Regions from separate parts of the Mus musculus genome. Here regions 1, 2 and 4 are each reported to be linked to region 3. Evidence: microRNA targets listed by miRTarBase, many of them from high-throughput screens and not tested one by one. Region 3 holds a microRNA gene; each other region holds the end of a gene's coding sequence. Distances are from middle to middle.
The links. The annotated mature microRNA mmu-miR-34b-5p reads AGGCAGUGUAAUUAGCUGAUUGU and lies in region 3 at 2,031-2,053, shown strand. An mRNA with a match to its seed (bases 2 to 7 or 8) in the 3' UTR can be bound and repressed. Matches are read on the target gene's strand: a 7mer-m8 pairs with bases 2 to 8, a 7mer-A1 pairs with bases 2 to 7 and ends in A, and an 8mer does both.

Region 1: the mRNA of Ppif is a reported target of mmu-miR-34b-5p. Seed matches in the 3' UTR shown: 7mer-m8 at 1,581-1,587.
Region 2: the mRNA of Adgrg1 is a reported target of mmu-miR-34b-5p. Seed matches in the 3' UTR shown: 8mer at 640-647.
Region 4: the mRNA of Celsr3 is a reported target of mmu-miR-34b-5p. Seed matches in the 3' UTR shown: 7mer-m8 at 2,132-2,138.

What each region holds. Positions count from the first base shown.
Region 1 is chr14:25,698,720-25,702,951 of GRCm38, forward strand. It overlaps Ppif (peptidylprolyl isomerase F (cyclophilin F)), which reads left to right. Exons shown (of 6, transcript NM_134084.1): 6 at 748-1,749. The coding sequence ends at 883. Ppifos (peptidylprolyl isomerase F, opposite strand) reads right to left here and starts at 2,563. Exons shown (of 3, transcript NR_028021.1): 1 at 2,326-2,563.
Region 2 is chr8:95,012,556-95,016,787 of GRCm38, forward strand. Adgrg1 (adhesion G protein-coupled receptor G1) reads left to right here. Exons shown (of 14, transcript NM_001198894.1): 14 at 302-1,653. The coding sequence ends at 432. Gm51544 (a long non-coding RNA gene) reads right to left here. Exons shown (of 4, transcript XR_003947440.1): 2 at 3,398-3,492; 3 at 3,092-3,197. Among named protein-coding and RNA genes, the nearest start is that of Adgrg3, 3.0 kb to the right of the region's middle.
Region 3 is chr9:51,101,431-51,105,662 of GRCm38, reverse strand. It overlaps Mir34b (microRNA 34b), which reads left to right and starts at 2,018; the gene lies at 2,018-2,101. Hoatz (HOATZ cilia and flagella associated protein) reads left to right here and starts at 3,585. Exons shown (of 6, transcript NM_177702.4): 1 at 3,585-3,918. The coding sequence starts at 3,693. Mir34c (microRNA 34c) reads left to right here and starts at 2,553; the gene lies at 2,553-2,629. It also overlaps a transcript of Btg4 not described here.
Region 4 is chr9:108,850,644-108,854,875 of GRCm38, reverse strand. It overlaps Celsr3 (cadherin, EGF LAG seven-pass G-type receptor 3), which reads right to left. Exons shown (of 36, transcript NM_001359572.1): 36 at 1,907-3,575. The coding sequence ends at 3,548. Slc26a6 (solute carrier family 26, member 6) reads right to left here and starts at 833. Exons shown (of 20, transcript NM_134420.4): 1 at 42-833.

The sequences.
Region 1 (4,232 bases), not on the chromosome of region 3:
ACACACTGTTAGCATGGCCGCACATGGCTCCCAGACCTCCCAGCTTCCTTTCCCACAGTCCTATGCTGTCTAAGAATGCCTTTTCCCTGGTAAAACTTCCACCAAGCAACACCTTTCTCTGCATAGAGTTCTGAGTATCCCAGGCCTCAGGTCCCAGGAGGTCAGAGGCAACAGCTGACTGAGAAGTTTAGAAAACCTGTGTTCACAACTTTAAGGAAATCTAAGCGATGGGATGACAGCCACACAGGGCTGTCAGGGTCGGGCATGTTGGTGCCAGCCCCATCTTCTTTGCTCCTTCCATGGAAGCCTTGATGGGCCTTAAAGCTCTGCCCCAGGCTGTCCTTATTCTCAGCTGTGCTGGAGCTGAGCTAAGTCCCTGTTCTGTTCTTGGAACTCACAGATCATGAGCTACTCAACACCTCCAGGCTTCTCACACTTATTTGGTGCTCAGTTTGCCATAGTCTGTTGTGCAGATGTCTTGCTTTTTTGAGTGCTGCAATGCCCATCATTTTCCTGGGCAGAATGAGAACAACCTACTTCTCATAAGTAAGGTCACCAAAAGTCAGATCAGGCTGCCGGACAAAGCCCAGGGTGACAGAACTGGGAGCCTGGAATCCAGTGGAATGCAGCTGAAGAGCTCACAAGCGGTAACTAGGCTTTCAGGGTAGTGGTGTTCCTTTGGCAAACAACTCTGCCGAGTGGCCAGGATGCTGGGTGTTTTCTTACTTGGCTCAACCCTCCCCACAGGCTAGATGGCAAGCATGTCGTGTTCGGCCATGTCAAAGAGGGCATGGATGTTGTGAAGAAAATAGAATCTTTCGGCTCAAAAAGTGGGAAGACGTCTAAGAAGATTGTCATCACAGACTGTGGCCAGTTGAGCTAACTCACAGCCAAGGTGCTAGGACAGCAGCAGGCATCCATGTCTTGATTCACCCAGGTTCTCCAAAGAACAGTTTGCACCCACTTCTATTGAGTCTGAGGAAGGCCACTCAGGCATGGTCCTCCCAGACCAGGCTGCTCTCCACTGTCCATCCTGCCTCAGATCCCGTTTCTGGGCATCAGTATGGCCATCGGGCCATGTACCCTCAGCCGATGTCCCCGTGATTGCCATGTGCGTGTGCCTTGGACATTGGCAATGCTGACCAGTTAGTCAGGGAAGGCTCCTGACTCTTTTCCTTGATCAGTGGGGATAGCAGTTGCTATTTAATGTTGTCTTCCTCCTTGCAATAATTTAACATAGAATTCAAGATCTCATCGAAACAAAGCTGTGACACTCATGGCACTGTCCGTGTGTGACCTGTGTTGCTGTGACACTCACGGCACTGTCCATGTGTGACCTGAGTTGGCACAAGCCACAGACACCCCCAACCCCCCCACCTCCCAGCCTGGCTTCTGAGACATCACTCAGGGCTCTTGTGAAAGTCCCAGCGTCAATGCCTTCCCTCCTGGTCACTGTGAATCCTGCTGGCTGCTGCTGTGATTTTTGAAAGCCTGTGAAATAGAAGCAGCAGGACCTGGGAACAGACCTGTGAGCCCGGTCTTTCTGCTCAATGTGAATTCCCGTGGTGAAAACTTACAGACACTGCCTGACCTCATGCTGTTCTCAAGAGGGAAGTGTCTTCTGGCAGGCTTTGCTTTTTCTGTATGTTGAATAAATCCAATCTATCAATAATATATATGTAAAAGATTTCTGGGACAGTCCTGTGTGTTCATCTCAAATGTGATAAATAAATCCTATTTTCTATAAAATGGCTGTCTCTGGTTTTGGAATGAAATTTACATCTTTGGGGCTCATTTGTTTTTGTGACAGGGTCTTGCTGTGTGGTCCAGGGTCTTGCTGTATAGCCTTTGGCTAGCTTCAAACACTCTTGACCTTCCTCAATGCTGTTGGGATTACAGGCATGGAACATTGACTCCAGCTGGGGCCAGTCTTGGAGTTACTATGTGTTAGGTTCTATGCTTTGAACTGTTTTTTGTTTGTTTTGTTGTTTTATGATGCTAGGGCCTTTGTGCACACAAGCCACGTCCTCAGCCTTATTGTAAGGAAATCCGTGTAGAACATTCTGTGTCCTAACCCCAAGTACTAGCTCAGAAGCCACTGAGAACATCCTTGCTACCATCTGTCCTGTAGGATGGTCCAGACAGTCCCCACCGTGAGCACTACCTCTAGGTGAAGTCCCAGCTATGCTTAGTGATTGAGCTTCAGTTTCTCTCAGCTACATAATGTGTACATGACATCTAGGTCTGGAATTGGGTGTGACCCATGTGAGGTGCATGGTCTTGGGCCAGATGTATCATCACAGCAATCTCTGGGTAGTGACTTACAAGAGGGTGACATTTCCCGTGTGTCAGAGATCCTTAGGAAAGGGGGCTGAGATCACCAAAGGTTAGAGGTGGGTTTCCCTTTTCTCATGCTGGGTCACTGAAATGTGGAATTCTTCATTGCTGAATTCTCAGGGAAGACAGGACTGGGGCAAGCACATGACTAAGAGTTTCCTTAGGTGGGTAGGGACATAGCATAGCTCATGGAGAAGGGATGTGGGCTCTGGCTGCGGTGAGTATTGCATTCATGCCATATAGAATTCCTGAATCAGGTGATGTCAGGTTAGAGGTAGGCGTGGTCATTCTGACATCATAGAGGTTATGCTGAGTCTTCAGAGTCTTGGAGTTTCCATGAAGTCAGAGCTCAGCTCCTTGGGTTGAGAGTTTGGTTGGAGTAGTAGTTAAAGCCATTTTGGGAGCAGCCAGCATCCTCAGAACAGCTGGCTGTGATGGTGTGGACCCTGAGCAGGCATTCTGTGCCTGTGTCCACGAGCCTCTGCAGTCCTTTATACAGTGGGGCTGCCGAGGGACTTCATTTGAGACGCAGATCTCGCCTACTAATAACTGATAATGTCTCATGCAGCACAACAGCTTACAGGTGAGAAGATGAGGCTACAGGCTGGCTTGTGATTAATCTAGACAATATGTCAAGCAGTTGGCAAAGGACAGACCTCTTGAGCTCTTGGTGGTACAGAAAGTACACACGGGCTTCTTAGGATCATTACCTAAAATCTTGAGGTCACACAGGTACTTTACCACTGACCTGTGACCCCAAACCCTCCCCTTTTTGTTTAGTTGTAGGCTAGGTCTACATTGTCCACGGTGGCCTTGAAGTTACTCTATGGCCCAGGCCAACTTAAAACTTGTGACTCTTTTTGCCTTGGTCCTTTGAATAGCTTTGATTATAGGCTTATCCCCAGCCACTTTAAAAGTATTTTAGGAACATTATTTATTTACTCACTTTAAAATTTGTGTATTTCTGGTACAGGTCAAAGATGTGTTGTTGTTGTTTTTGGAGTTGCCTGCTGACCTGGGGTACTCCAGGCACCCAGGACAAGTCAAAGGGAAAGCCATCCCTCCTTGAGCTGTGACCTGCCTCCTGTCAATTTCAGAGGGGTCCAGAGTTAGAAGTGGGAGGGCTTGTGTTTCCTGAGGATGTGTGTGTTCTGTCTCCATCCAGTGGAATCTAGGGGTACAGCAAGCATGTAAGAATTTTTCTGAAAACCACTCCCTAAAGGCAGAGGCAAGGTCATCCTCTGCAGCTCTCAGAGGCCCAAGCCAGGTTTTGGGGTTTTGTTTGTTTGTTTGTTTGTTTGTTTGCTTTGTTTTTTCCAGACAGGGTTTCTCTGTATAGCCCTGGCTGTCCTGGAGCTCACTTTGTAGACCAGGCTGGTTTTTATGTGAAGCATCTTTTAAAGTAACACAGGAAATCCTGGCTTGTTGCTTGCCAGTAAGTCCTCAGTACCTAATGTGTGCATACATACATCGGTAGCCCTCAGTACCTAATGTGTGCATACATACATCGGTAGCCCTCAGTACCTAATGTGTGCATACATACATCGGTAGCCCTCAGTACCTAATGTGTGCATACATACATTGGTAGCCCTCAGTACCTAATGTGTGCATACATACATCGGTAGCCCTCAGTACCTAACGTGTGCACCAAGTGTTGAACCTGTATATGCTTTCTAGATGGCATAAGATGTGATACCTTATGCTTTCAAAAACCAAAACATCAAATTTCTGAGATGCTTGGTAGCTTTTCAGAATGATTTCACTGAGATAAAAATTTACATATAGTAAAATTCACACATTTTAATTGCACCATCAATAAAATTTTGAAAACCACATCCACTGATTAATGAGCATCAGTGAAGACACAAAACCTCGCCAGTGTTTCAGAACCTTCC
Region 2 (4,232 bases), not on the chromosome of region 3:
TAGTCACGTCAGAGCCAACGGAGTCACCGTGGGGTGGAATGGAATGAGGGGATACGCTCTAAAATCTTGTGGTTAGGCATTTCATCTTGTCCCCTGTGAGGCATGTGAACCGAGGCCAACACCAACCCCCTGATATGCCACAGTGTACTGAGTCATTCCGAGTGGCTCCAGAGCCCTGAGTATATGACTGGACGCCGCCGCCCCCACCCCCTCCACCCCTTGGAGCAGAGGGACTCTGAGAGGGGAACAGAGCCAGACGGGATCTTGCCATCTGATAACCCATGTGCCTCACTGCCCACAGGCTTCCTCATCTTCCTGTGGTACTGGTCCATGCGGTTCCAGGCCCAAGGCGGCCCCTCCCCTCTGAAGAACAACTCAGACAGCGCCAAACTCCCCATCAGCTCCGGCAGCACCTCCTCCAGCCGCATCTAAGCCACCGCCACACCTCCCCTCCGGGAGGACACATGCATGGCGTCCGCTCACGATGTCTGTGGCCCAGTGCTGTGCCCACCCAGCCTTTGTTGGTTAGTGGCATACTAGAGAAGGCCCTGGTCCTTGAAGGCGTAGGGCTGTTGCTCTGGTAGGTAGATACCTAGCTTGCCTTGGGGACGACTCTGGTCCTCAAAGGGCTCAGAAGCACACTGCCATTCTGTTTGTGGGGCCGTTTCAGTCTGGAGCTAAGGCCTTGTCTTTCTGGCCACCTCTGGGTCCAGCTGTTGCTGCTGGGTGTTGAGACCTGCAGACCCAAGCTGGGGTTAGATCTCGAAGGAGGCTGACACATCCGGCCTGAGACACAGCTAACTGTCTTGACTTGCTGCTCTGTCTCTGTGGTCACCATGCAGATCCCGAGGGTGGCACTGGGGGTAAATGTTCTGGGAGAAGGTTTGGAGGCAGAGCACCTTAGGAGCTGAGCATCTCCCCCAGCCTTTCTGCAAACCCTCCTCTTCATTCCCCATCCCCAACCCCTCCTCTGTGTTCCCCTAACCCTCCACCTGAAGCCTGGGGTCCTAGACCAATGCTGTGATTTGGGGTGGTAGTTCCCAGCAGTTTCCTGGTGCCAGCTATCAACTTCTGTCTGTTGTGTGGGCTTTGGCCTCTGACTCAGGGCAGGTTTCTGTCTGAGCCCTCTCTCCAAGCTGCCTCACCTTTGCTCGCACCTCAGAGGGACCTCCATCTCTCCTGAAGCCTCCTCCCTCTGGCAAGTACTGGGATACAGCCACCCTTTCAACCCAGCACTCTGAAGACCAAGACAGCCCCCTCTGGTGACACTGGCCAAGCTTGATCTTTTTCCTAAGAAGTGGTCTTCAGATCCCTGCAGGTCGCTCAGAAGACACTGGGCTGCCTAGTGTGAATTCTGTCCTACTAACGTACAGTGAGCAGCTCCTCACCCCCACCCCCGCAAAAGCTCTCACCAAGTCCTGGAGTGTCAGGCAGGGGGCTGGAAATCCAGGAGGACTTCCTGCAAAAGGCAGCATTTCATCTTGACCTCAGCCTTCAGGTTGGGGAGAATGTTCTTTTTAAATACCAGTTCATTTGTCTTTTGATATTAAAGCTCTTTATAGAGAGTCTGGAAACTGTAGGCGATTGTCGAGAAGAGAAATAAAAATGAGCTGTTATCTAATGCCATGGCAAAGCAGCACAGTTTGGAGAGTTGCCCGTCTCAGTTTTGTTTGGGTTTGTCTTTGTTTTTTTGTTTTTTTTTCCTCCCACTTCTGTTACTAGTGTTGCTGATTCAGGAGTCTTGGGGATGATCAGGAAATGGCCAAGAGGGAAATGTGACAAAGAAGGCATCTGAGGACACTTTCTCAGGAGAACAAGAGAAATGGCCCACTGGTACCTCCTCGGGTGGTGCCGGGCAGAGGCCCGTCAAGAATAACCCGGAGATCCTGACCATCTGCTGCAGATGGCCATTGCTGGCGTGGAGGGAGACCTGGGTAGCCACATCAGTTGCCTTTCATGGGGAAACCAGACTGGTTCATCAAAGCCATTGATCTTACAATGTTGGCATATACAAAACCTTCCGTAGCCAAAGAGGTCACTCTTGAGAGCTGAGTTCAGATTTTAACTAGTCAGGTGATCCAAGGAACAGTTTGGCCATCAGTCTGGAGCAGCTGGGCTGTGAGAAATGACTCAGGTTTTCTCCCAGCGTCTAGCCTGCTCCTCAAGTCCCTTCTCCCACTTATGTGGCACAGGTTAGACATGTCCCAGGTGTCTGTCTCCCTTGGGTTATATGTGATTGTCCCCATCTGAGTTCAAGTACAAAGAGGTATAAAAAGCAGGGTGTGGTGGTACCTGCAGTCCCAGCACTTGAGATGCTGAGGCAGGAGATTGAGAGTTCAAGACCAGCCTGGGCTGTATAGTGAGCCTCTCAAGGAGTGAGGAGAGGAAGCTAAGTCCCCTTTATTCGAAGTCTGAGATTCGCCCAGGTCCACAGCCCCACCCCAGCTCCCACCCTCAGCCCCTGCTGTGCCAGGGGAAGGTGGGGGTACTCTGGGGCTTGACAGGGTGAGTGGAACACTGCCTTGGCAGTTCTAGGTATACCAGCAGTTCCCACAGCATGGCACAGATGTGACAGATTTGAGACCTGTCTGGACTTTGGCCCGTGGAAGCCCCATGTCTCTCTCCATCTTCCTCCACAACTCTGGTGGCCTCTGCTTTTACTTTGGAGTTCTTTTGTTTGTGTGCTTGATTGCTTTTTTTTTTTTTTTTGGAAGGGGGGGGCAGGGTTTCTCTGTATCCCTGCCTGTCTGGAACTCACTGTATAGACCAGGCTGGTCTCTACCTACCTACCTACCTCTGCCTTTTAATTGCTGGGATTAAAGGCATGGACCACCATGCCCACCTTACTTTGGAGTCCTTATGTTCCTCCCCCTGCGGAAAGAACCAGACTTTCCCGAGCCCCTCTGCTGCGTGTCCTGGCCTGACATCCCCCCTCCTCTCACAGGAAGAAAGCCTCCACCCCAATTTCTTCTTTCCTAACCTCTGGTTCTGAGGCTGGCTCAGAGAAGGAGATGGGACCCCTGATATCTCTGAGTCTTCTTTGGCCCGAGTAGTTCTTTCTAGGCTGAGGATCGGTAGACAACACACTTACCTTCCCATTAAGGCAAGCAAGAGAGTCTCTAAAGACACGTTTCTGATCTGGATACAGTCAGGTGATACCGGCTGGCCTGGCAAAGGGCTTGAGACCTTGGAATAAGCTGCGGTGACAGGAGATAGGATGGGACATGACTGTTATGTTAGTCCTGAAATGTGGGGGCCCAGGGCTCTGCAAAGGATCTCAGGCTAGTACCTAGCTAGTCTCACTGGGTCCTTCTAGAAGCTCTGCAGGGCCTGGCTCTCCCACCTCTCTACCTCCCAGGGACACTGGGCACTATGCTTCTGCCTGCAGGTCACCAACCTTTTTTTTTTCTCTCTCATGTATCCATGAGACCCATGGAGCCATATGAGACACAACCCAGCATATCAGGAACCACCGTGTCACGACATCCTTGCCTGAGGTTGGGAGAGACGCCACAAGCAATTAGGGGAGGCTGACTCAGGGCAGAGCAGGCCCAGTGGCTCCCATCTTCCTGTCAGAGGAAGCTCAGGGACACAGGAACTTCTGGATTCTGACCTGGGACTCCAGGCTCTATCCGTCCCCACCCCCACCTTCTACAGAGCAAGAGTGACCTGTATCCCTTCCCACACCCCCTCAGATCCAAAGGGCCCAGCAGGGGACCATGTGAAAGGAAGGAGAGACAGATGATGGTTATAACTGGACAGCTCCCCAGAAAGAGCAGAGCTAGCTCAGTCCTAAGGGGGTGTCGGTAACAGGTGACGGTATTGAGGCTCTTTTACCCATCTGAGTAGCTGTGGACAACCAAGGGCCTGGCCTTCTCCATGACTTTCTTGGGGTCAGCCGACTGGTAGGCTCCACCTCTTCCCCAGGCATGTGCATGTGTGTATGTGTGTTTGTGTGTATATGTGTGTATGCGTGTGTGTATGTGTATATGTGTGGTTGTGTGTATGTGTGTTTGGGTGTATGTGTGTTTGTGTGTATATATGTGTGTTTGTGTGTATGTGTGTGTGTATGTGTGTTTGTGTGTATGTGTGTTTGTGTGTATGTGTATATGTGTGTTTGTGTGCATGTGTGTATGAGCCTATATGATTCCCCATCCTCCTGCCTGGACCAGCAGTGACCAGCCTGGAGAGGATGACTGTCACTTCACAGAACTGATAACTAGTACATACTA
Region 3 (4,232 bases):
AAGCTGGGTGGAAGCATGACACATGGAGTGAAATTGAGCAAAATGCAAAATAAATGATTTTTTAATGATGTCCTCCTAAAACTTGTAACTCTTCATAGTGTTTATGGGATGGAGGCTATTTCTACTACTTTTATTTATATTTGAACGTTTAAATGACCTTTTGTAGGATACATTATACTTTTCTCAAATACAAGAAGACTGAATACAAGATAGTTATTTACAAATGTCTTTCATAAGTTAATTTTATAATAATCTGGCATTTTCTACTTCATTTTCCTTTCACTTAAGCCTTCATAAAACAATGACTCTGAAGGAAAAAAACATTGTCTTTTACTTTCAAAGATAATGTTAAAATATACACAAGTTTATTCTTGGGAAGTTCTTGGGTTTTAATGGTTTCCACTTGGAATTTGTGTTGAATGTTCCTGATGATTGGCATATATTCATGTAATTAGTGGCATCTACAAGACCATTTGCTGGGCTTACAGGTATCAGTGTATAGCTAAGAAATGTCCCTTTGTAGACTGCAAGACTGTTGGATCAATACAAATGGGTGTCATACAGCATACAGGAAGACCACAGTCTGGGACGGCTACTTCCTACTGAATTCCACAAAGTTTGCAATCAGAGAATACTGTATATCCTCTCTGGGCTCAATTAATTAAAGGAAAGGAGAGGAAAGACTAAAGGAAAGAAATATTAGTGAAGATGGCGCAGAAATGCTGTCCCCTCAGCGCCTCCTATTCCCAATATACACAAACACGCACCCCGTTATCAGATATAAAATAGCAAAAACAAGGGGAATGTAACTGACAGAAGATATGGCTTCTCGGGCTTCTACAGACCTCATCCTTAATGTCCAAATCTACCCTTGCTTCAAGGATCTACCTGAACTCTCACCTCCTCCATGATGGTGTCTGTCAGCTCTTGTTGGCACACCTCCCACCCCCACCCATACCTGTTTTTTTCTATTAGGAAAATCTATCAGTTTAGCAACTTTATACTGTCTGGAGTAATAAATAATGTGTTCACATTTTGTTACCACCTAGACTGTCTGATGGGTAGTAAGACAAACGCCTGTTAGGTGCTGGATTTGTAACATTTAAATAAAACAGGAGCCCAAAGTGAGACTAGATATCCTCAAGGCTCACGGGGAGATCATCAAAACTGTGTCTTTGATCTTATAAGGGCCACAACTTTGACCTACCAACAAGGGTGTTGGTTCAATGTTTGACCAGAAGAGTGGCCCACACTTCACTGTATGGCCCTGTAAGAGGTAGTCCTAAGAAAGAACTTGGGTACAGGCAAGGGCAATCCTGCAGGTATGAGTGCCCAGGCCTGCTCAGGCAGGAAGGCTCCAGATGAGACGCCTGGGAAGCGGTTTCTGAGAATGGGCATATGAACAGTGAGGAGGCCTGGGGCTTCTTGGGCAATATATTGGGAAGGAGAGATGGATGTAGGTCTCTGCGCTTCTTTCTTCGATGTAGCAGTAACTACACTGTGAAGATAAACTTCTCAAGAATCTGTCTCTCCATCTCCCCGGCCCCTTCCCAGGAGGCTCTGCAGGAGCCCTCCCATTGCCCCTTCTGGTAGCTTCTGCCACCCCTCCCCCACTCGCCCCGCCCCCTCGGCCTCGGGGTTCCAAGGGCGGTTGGTCGCTGAGCCACGGTCACTCGGCCAGTAGGAGCTGCGGGGCGCGCGGGCTGGACAGAACCGGCTCTAGACTTGGGTCTGGAAGCCGTGAAGAAGTTGTTGGAGGCGGGTCAGACCCGGCTTGCGGGAAGAAGGACTCGGGCCGGATGCCCTGGGGTCCGGGCTGAGTCGGGGGTCTCGGGGGGGACGGCGGGGACAGGGGGCCTCAGCGCCTGGGGGTTCACCTGGGGTCGCGCGCGGCCCTGCTGGGTGTGGAGGGGCCTCGGGAGCCTGAGGCACCTCTCGCTCCGCCGCCCTCGCCTGTCGACCGTGGCGAAAGGGGGCGAGGGGCCCGACCCTCGGGAGCTGCAGTGGCGGGCGCCCGGTGCTCGGTTTGTAGGCAGTGTAATTAGCTGATTGTAGTGCGGTGCTGACAATCACTAACTCCACTGCCATCAAAACAAGGCACAGCATCACCCGCCGCCCGCGGGAGGAGAAGCCAGCGCTGCAGCCCCACTGACTCCGCAGAAAGCCGAGGCCGGAGCCAGGATGCGTCAGCAAAGGGCCGGGAGCACGAGGTCTAAGTGCAAGTAACCCTCGGAGACCGGCGGCCTCCTTTAGGGACCGTTCGGCTACCTGTGTGTAAGAGCCAGAGCAAAAACGGTTCAGTGATGTGTAAAGAGAATCGGTATACACCGGCCTTAACATAAAAAAAAAAAAAAAAAAAAAGGCCAGGAAGAGCCCCCCCCCCCCCCCCCCCAGAACAGTTCCTGCTGCTGCTGTGATTCACTGCCTGATTTCCACTTCTGAGAAAGCTATCACCAAGGCAGCGACTAGAGTCAACCACAGCTTGGCTGACGATTTGCTCTGGTCACACCAAAGTCTGAGAGCACCAGCTAAAGACTGCATGCTTTTTTCTGAGTCTAGTTACTAGGCAGTGTAGTTAGCTGATTGCTAATAGTACCAATCACTAACCACACAGCCAGGTAAAAAGACTGAAATTCCTCCGACTGAGCCTCCTGTGAATCGTCATTTTGGTGAGGACAGAGCCATAGGGAAATATTCTTACCATACTATTAGTGGTTTGGGGGGGGGGGGGGAACCGCTAGCCCTTAGCTGCTAAGTATACAATGTATCAATTTGTGTGGGGTACATTTTTTGTGATTTTTAGATATATTGGAAAAATAGAAATTATCCCTTAGCTGATTTGGTCATTATATTGACTTGTGATTATAAATCTTTGGACTTTGCCTGACATATTAATAACACTCTAAAAAATAAAGCGCCACGAAAATCTCAGCAATCGTGTTCATTTCCTTTCCAAAAACTGGCTTTAGGATCTCCATTTCAGCTCCTGTCAACCCCGTAAAGTCATTAAATGGTTAGTTGCTATACAGACAAAATCTCCAGGGAAACGTCTCACACATGATTGTGACCTGGAAGGGAACGTTAAATGTTTTCATAATTTTCCATGGGGCAAGGGAACTCAGCCCACTTAACCAGGTATATTTTTTAAGGTATTAACAGTTGCGTTCTAGGCAACTTTTCGTGGGAATAATTAGTGAACACGATTTAAAACCAGCTGGTTTCCTAATATCTGTAATAAAAGATTTGAGAGGTTTTAAATCACACAAGCTGTATCCACCGGTACTTCTCGGCCCAGTTCTAGATTAGCGCTTTATGCAGATGTATCAATGCAAACCTGAGAATTTCCCCAGAGGTAAGAGTGCGAAGCCTTGGCAATCTTGTCCAAAAGAGGAAGGCGCTCTTTAAAGCTCACATTATTGGGCTATCTGGGGGAGGAGGAGACGCTGGCTGAGGATCTAAGAGACAGTCCAGGACTGTACACATCACAAAGTTGAGGCTTTTACTCTTAAGGCTTGACTGGCCCCGAAAATTGTGACCTCGACAGAAGCCAGCTGCTGATGGGCCACAAGCCCTCGAGGAACCCCAGATCTACGGAAGAAGAAACACAGGCATTCCGGTGGTGGCAGTTACCAACAGGACGGTTCTCCGGTAGGGGCGGGACGCCAGAGCTAAGGAAAGCGTCCTGAGTCACCATGGAAACGGGGCCCAGAGGCTGTCCTAGCGGCAGGAAGGAATCCCAGGAAATCTGCTCCCCTGGATTACTGGTGTTCACCGGCTGCTCTGAGCAGGATGCCAATTTGGCTAAGCAGTTTTGGCTCGGGGCGTCCATGTACCCCACTACCGAATCTCAGCTCGTGCTGACCCGAGGCAGCAGTCAGAGGCTACCGGTGGCGCGGAACTCTAAAGTCGTTCTGAGAGGTGAGTAGCAAGGCTACCTCCTGGAAGGGGAAACTGCCTGGTCTAATTGTCAGTCAATTGAGAAGTACAAACAAGCAGAAACAGGCAGTAATAGGTATATGCAAATACACAAACAATTCTAAAACTGCTGCAATTCTCCACTGTAAAGGATCTCATTGTTACATATAAATTCATTCTAGAGCTGGAGAAATGGCTCAGCAGTTAAGAGCACTGACTGCTTTCCAGAGGTCCTGAGTTCAATTCCCAGCAACCACATGGTGGCTCACAACCGTCTGTAATGGGACCTGATGCCCTCTTCTGGTGTGTCTGAAGAC
Region 4 (4,232 bases), 58 Mb from region 3:
TAACCAGGGGAGAGAATCCCACCAGAGGGGTAGGAACTCACCTGGGAAGACTCTCTAACCTGGGTATCCAATGGAGGAGGGAGCAGTGCAGACGCAAGGAAGATCTTCAGAGATTCTCTGCACCGCGGGCTCCAGGAGATCTCAGCGGCCCCTCTCCCCTCCTTCAAGATCTCTCAAGTCTTCTTAAAGGGCTCCCTCCCCTTACCAGGCGGCACGCGCCTTGGAGGGCGGAGCCTTGATGCTTGGCACCTCCCTTTGGGAGGGCACAAGGGCCGGCAGCGACAAATGTGAACAGTACCCTGCCGACTCAGGCCGCGGCTGGTCCACCGCCTGGCTAGAGCCTGTCTTGCAGCGGTTTCTCTCCCAGTCCCAACGCGCCCAGCTGGCACACCTCCCGTGCCAGGACTCCTCGGTAAGCAGCAACTTCCCTGCAGCGCCCTTATTAGCACTCCAGGGACGTTCAGTACAACCCTCAAGAGCTGGGGTCGCGCCAGAGCCCGCCCCCATCCCTCGCTGTTGATGGATAACCTCCTTCGGAAAATCGGCAAGGCGGTAAACTAAGGCTCCGCAGACGGGAAATGCCTGTCGGGGACTTGGAGGTTCCCTTCCTGAATTGACCCAGGCCGGGAGTCACAGAACTACTAGCGCTTCGCGGGCACGCGGAATTTGGGCAGCGCCCTGCAACTCACCGGACCCATCGGGAAGTCCCATGGCCCTCAGAGGGTAACTCGTGTACCGCTTTTCAAACAGCTCCCCCAGGAGGCCACTACCGGCTAGAAGGTGGCGCCAGGCCCAGAACTTGGCCGGCCGCAAGCTCCACCGCTAGGATGTGCAAGATCAGACCAATCAGAATTCTGGGGGTGGAATCCAAGTCATACTCTCTGGGCGGGGCGAGCCCGGAGAATAAAATTTTAACCCTTTCCTTCCCGTCGGCCTAGCTTCTGTCCCTGCCTGCGATTCTTGTTAACCTGCTGGGAGCTGGAGCATTCTGCTGAGACTGGAGGACTGGAACGAAGGCCCAGCGCTACGCTTGGCCAATGTTATGCCTCTGTGCCCTTAAGTGGCTGGACCTAATTGTATGCTTTGTAGAAGGTCCCCACTTTATGCAGAGGAGACATTCTTGACCGATCTGGATGCCTAGGTGTGCAACCAGGGGCCCCAGCCTCAACTGTGGGAGATCTAGGCCTGTAGGGTCTCTCAGGGACCACCAAGCTGTGAGTATCACCCTCAGATTTTTCCTTCTGAGACCTGGCACAGTGGTCCTCAAGACCAGCCCCACCCCACCTCCATTTCTTTTTTTCCAGACAAGTTTTCTCTGTTTAGCCTTGGCTGTCCTGGAACTCTCTGTAGACCAGACTTGTCTACAGAGATCCACCTGCCTCTGCCTAGTGAGTGCTGGGATTAAAGAAGAGATCAAAGGTATTTGTCACCATGGGTGGCTTCTTAAGCCCCCCCCCCCCCTTTCACTTTCACACCTGGCTGCCTAGACTGGAAATGGAGCACTCAGGATCCTTTCCAGGTCTGGAAGCTCTGGCCTGATCCAAGTGAGAAAAGACCAGTAAGGGCCAGAGTGTGGGTGGGTAAGCAGGAACTGAAGTGGGAACGCCTAGGTTTGGGGTGACTAATGGGCAGGGCCACAAATGTCAGCCTCTGGATATTAAGGAAACCCTCATATGACTGCCTAGACCAGGAAAGTGGCTTCTCTTGGCGCAGCTCCTGCGCTCCAACTTCAGGCTCCAGTCACAAGGTGAGAGGCCATATTTCAGAAAGAAATGGGAACCTGGTCCAAATCTCCCATGAAATGGGCTAAAAATAACTGGCTATTTTGGAGGGAGGAGAGCTCAGAGTCCTACAAAGGTCATCCTGGGTGAGTATTCTCAACAGCTGAGACAGAAAGAGGAACAAGTGTTTTCTATAGAAGTTTATTCCCAAAACAGAGCGCGGCTTCACGGAACAATTTACACAGACAGGAAAGAGGGCCACTGTTGGAAGGGGACCCCAGAGACGGGCATCTACAGAACCTAGGACATAGCAAGGACACTCTCCCAACCGACAGGCCTCTCAGCCCTTCAAGGGCAGGGGTCAGTCTGGGTAAAGAGAGCTGGGGACCTGGCTGGTGGGATTTGGCACAGGCAGTGAAGTGGGATTTTTTTGAATCTCAGAAACTGCCTCCCAAGAGTAAACACAGGGTAGGGGTGGGTGGCGGCTGCACAGAACCCCGGTCCTGAGCCACTTTCGGGGCAAGCTGTTAGAAGACTCAGCTGACCTTTGACCTGGGAAAAGTTGGGATTAGAAGCCTACCTCAAGATGGCCAGGTCCAGGGGCATCGCAGGTGGGTCTTTTAGGCCCCTCCCCCACTTTTTCTACCTTTCACTTGTAAACAAAGAGGGGGAAACATTCTGAACTATAAAACAAAGTGTGTAAGTTCAATGGTTGAAGCTGTAAACAATAAATAAAACCCAACCATGTTAAAAAAATAATCTTGATCTGTAAACAAAGTAACAAAAATGTAAAGTCCCCAGCACTGGACATCAGACAACTAACAAGAGAGTTTTGTGAGCAGGATCCTAACAGTTACCTGTCCCTTTATAAGGGACCAACAGAAGGTGGGGCAGCCACTGCTGCAGCCTGGTGCCAGGGAGGATCCTGTAAGCAGTGAGAGGCGGTGGCACCTACCTACATTCTGGGTCTTGGGTTCCCTTGTTTCTGCTCCCTTTGCTCACTGCCCCCCTCATCCCTCAAGGGGACAGTGTAATGAACCAATGGCACCACAGACAAGTGAAGGAGGGACAAAGGAGTTTCCCCTCCACCCACCCCCCTAGGAATGTCTGATTAGAGGCCCAAGTCCCTCCCTAAGGGAGAAAGGGAAGCCTTGATCTGTAAACATGACTTCTGCTGCTCCACCAGCACCTGCAGCATCAGTCCTAGGTCTTAAGGCAGTAAGCGGCAGGGACTCCATGTAATACATATCCACACCCACAGGGAGGAGTGGAGCACGTGAGCCCTCAGGAGGAGGATGGAGGAACCCCTGTTTCCAAGACCAATCCCCCCCCCCAACAGGAGTTTGGCCTAGGGGCATCGGAGAAAATGCAAAGATCAAATTTGCACCCTGGGCCCCAACAACAACGTTCAGATCAATGTGGGGAAGAGAAGGGGAAAGAGCAGGTGGGGCCTGACTCATTCACTCTGCTGTAAGATGAAATGAAAGAGCAGACGCTTAGCTAAGCGCCCAGTGGAGTGTCTCTCTCCCATCCCCTTCCCCCTCCTAGCCCAGTCTCGAGACCCCTGGGAGACAGAAAAGCTGAAAAATAACATAAGCATATCTCTCTGGTTACAAAGGTACAAAAATGTATAAAAGTCCTCCCTCAGCCCCCACCCCTGCACCTGTCACACACATGCTCACAGACGCACACAGGAGGGACCTTCCTTCTGCACTGAACTGAGGGGAGGGCTTGAAGAAGGCTGCCTTGCGATCAGTCCTGAAGGCTCTTCAGTCAGCCCAAATCCTCTGCAACCCCTGGTGGCTCCTCATTCGCTGGTCAGCCCCTCAGGAGTGACCCTCGCTTCTGGGAACTCTGTGGAGTTGAATGTAGAAGTGGAAAGCCATGGTTCAGAGGAGGGACCTTGCCTCTCAGCCCTCAGCACCTTCATGCCTACCCCAGGACTCTGAGCCCTCCCTCCACACACCCATCAGGACCCTAGACTCATTAGCAAGGCTACTTGGCTGCCTCAGTCTCTCAGTGCTCAGCAGGACACTGTCTATGTTCAGATACTAAATTCAGCATCCAGTAAGGCAGATAATGTGACAAATCTCCACATCTCAAGGAGTTCATTTCTCTAAACTCCCTCAACAGAGGAGATGAGTGTACAGCTTGTACTGTGCCAAGGTCATGGCAGAGGAGAGACAGAACTCAAACTCAAACTCTTGTGATTCTAAGGCCTGAATCCTTCCTCAGTTGCCTGGCACTCAAACCCCAAGGCTTGACAGACTGTAGGGGACTGTCTCCTAATTACCTTTCAGCAGCCCTCAGGACCTCCAGGCTCCCAAGGCCCTGCCCCTCCCTCCTTTATGGCCTCTCTCAACGCTGGGGTCTTTGCTCGATCCTCTGGGTCCCCTTGCCCCATCCCCAGAGACCCATTTTCCTTACAGCTGTCTCTCATCCTGAAGAGAGCCCAGAACTTGTCCTGGCAGTTTCAGAGAGAGAGAGAGAGAGAGAGAGAGAGAGAGAGAG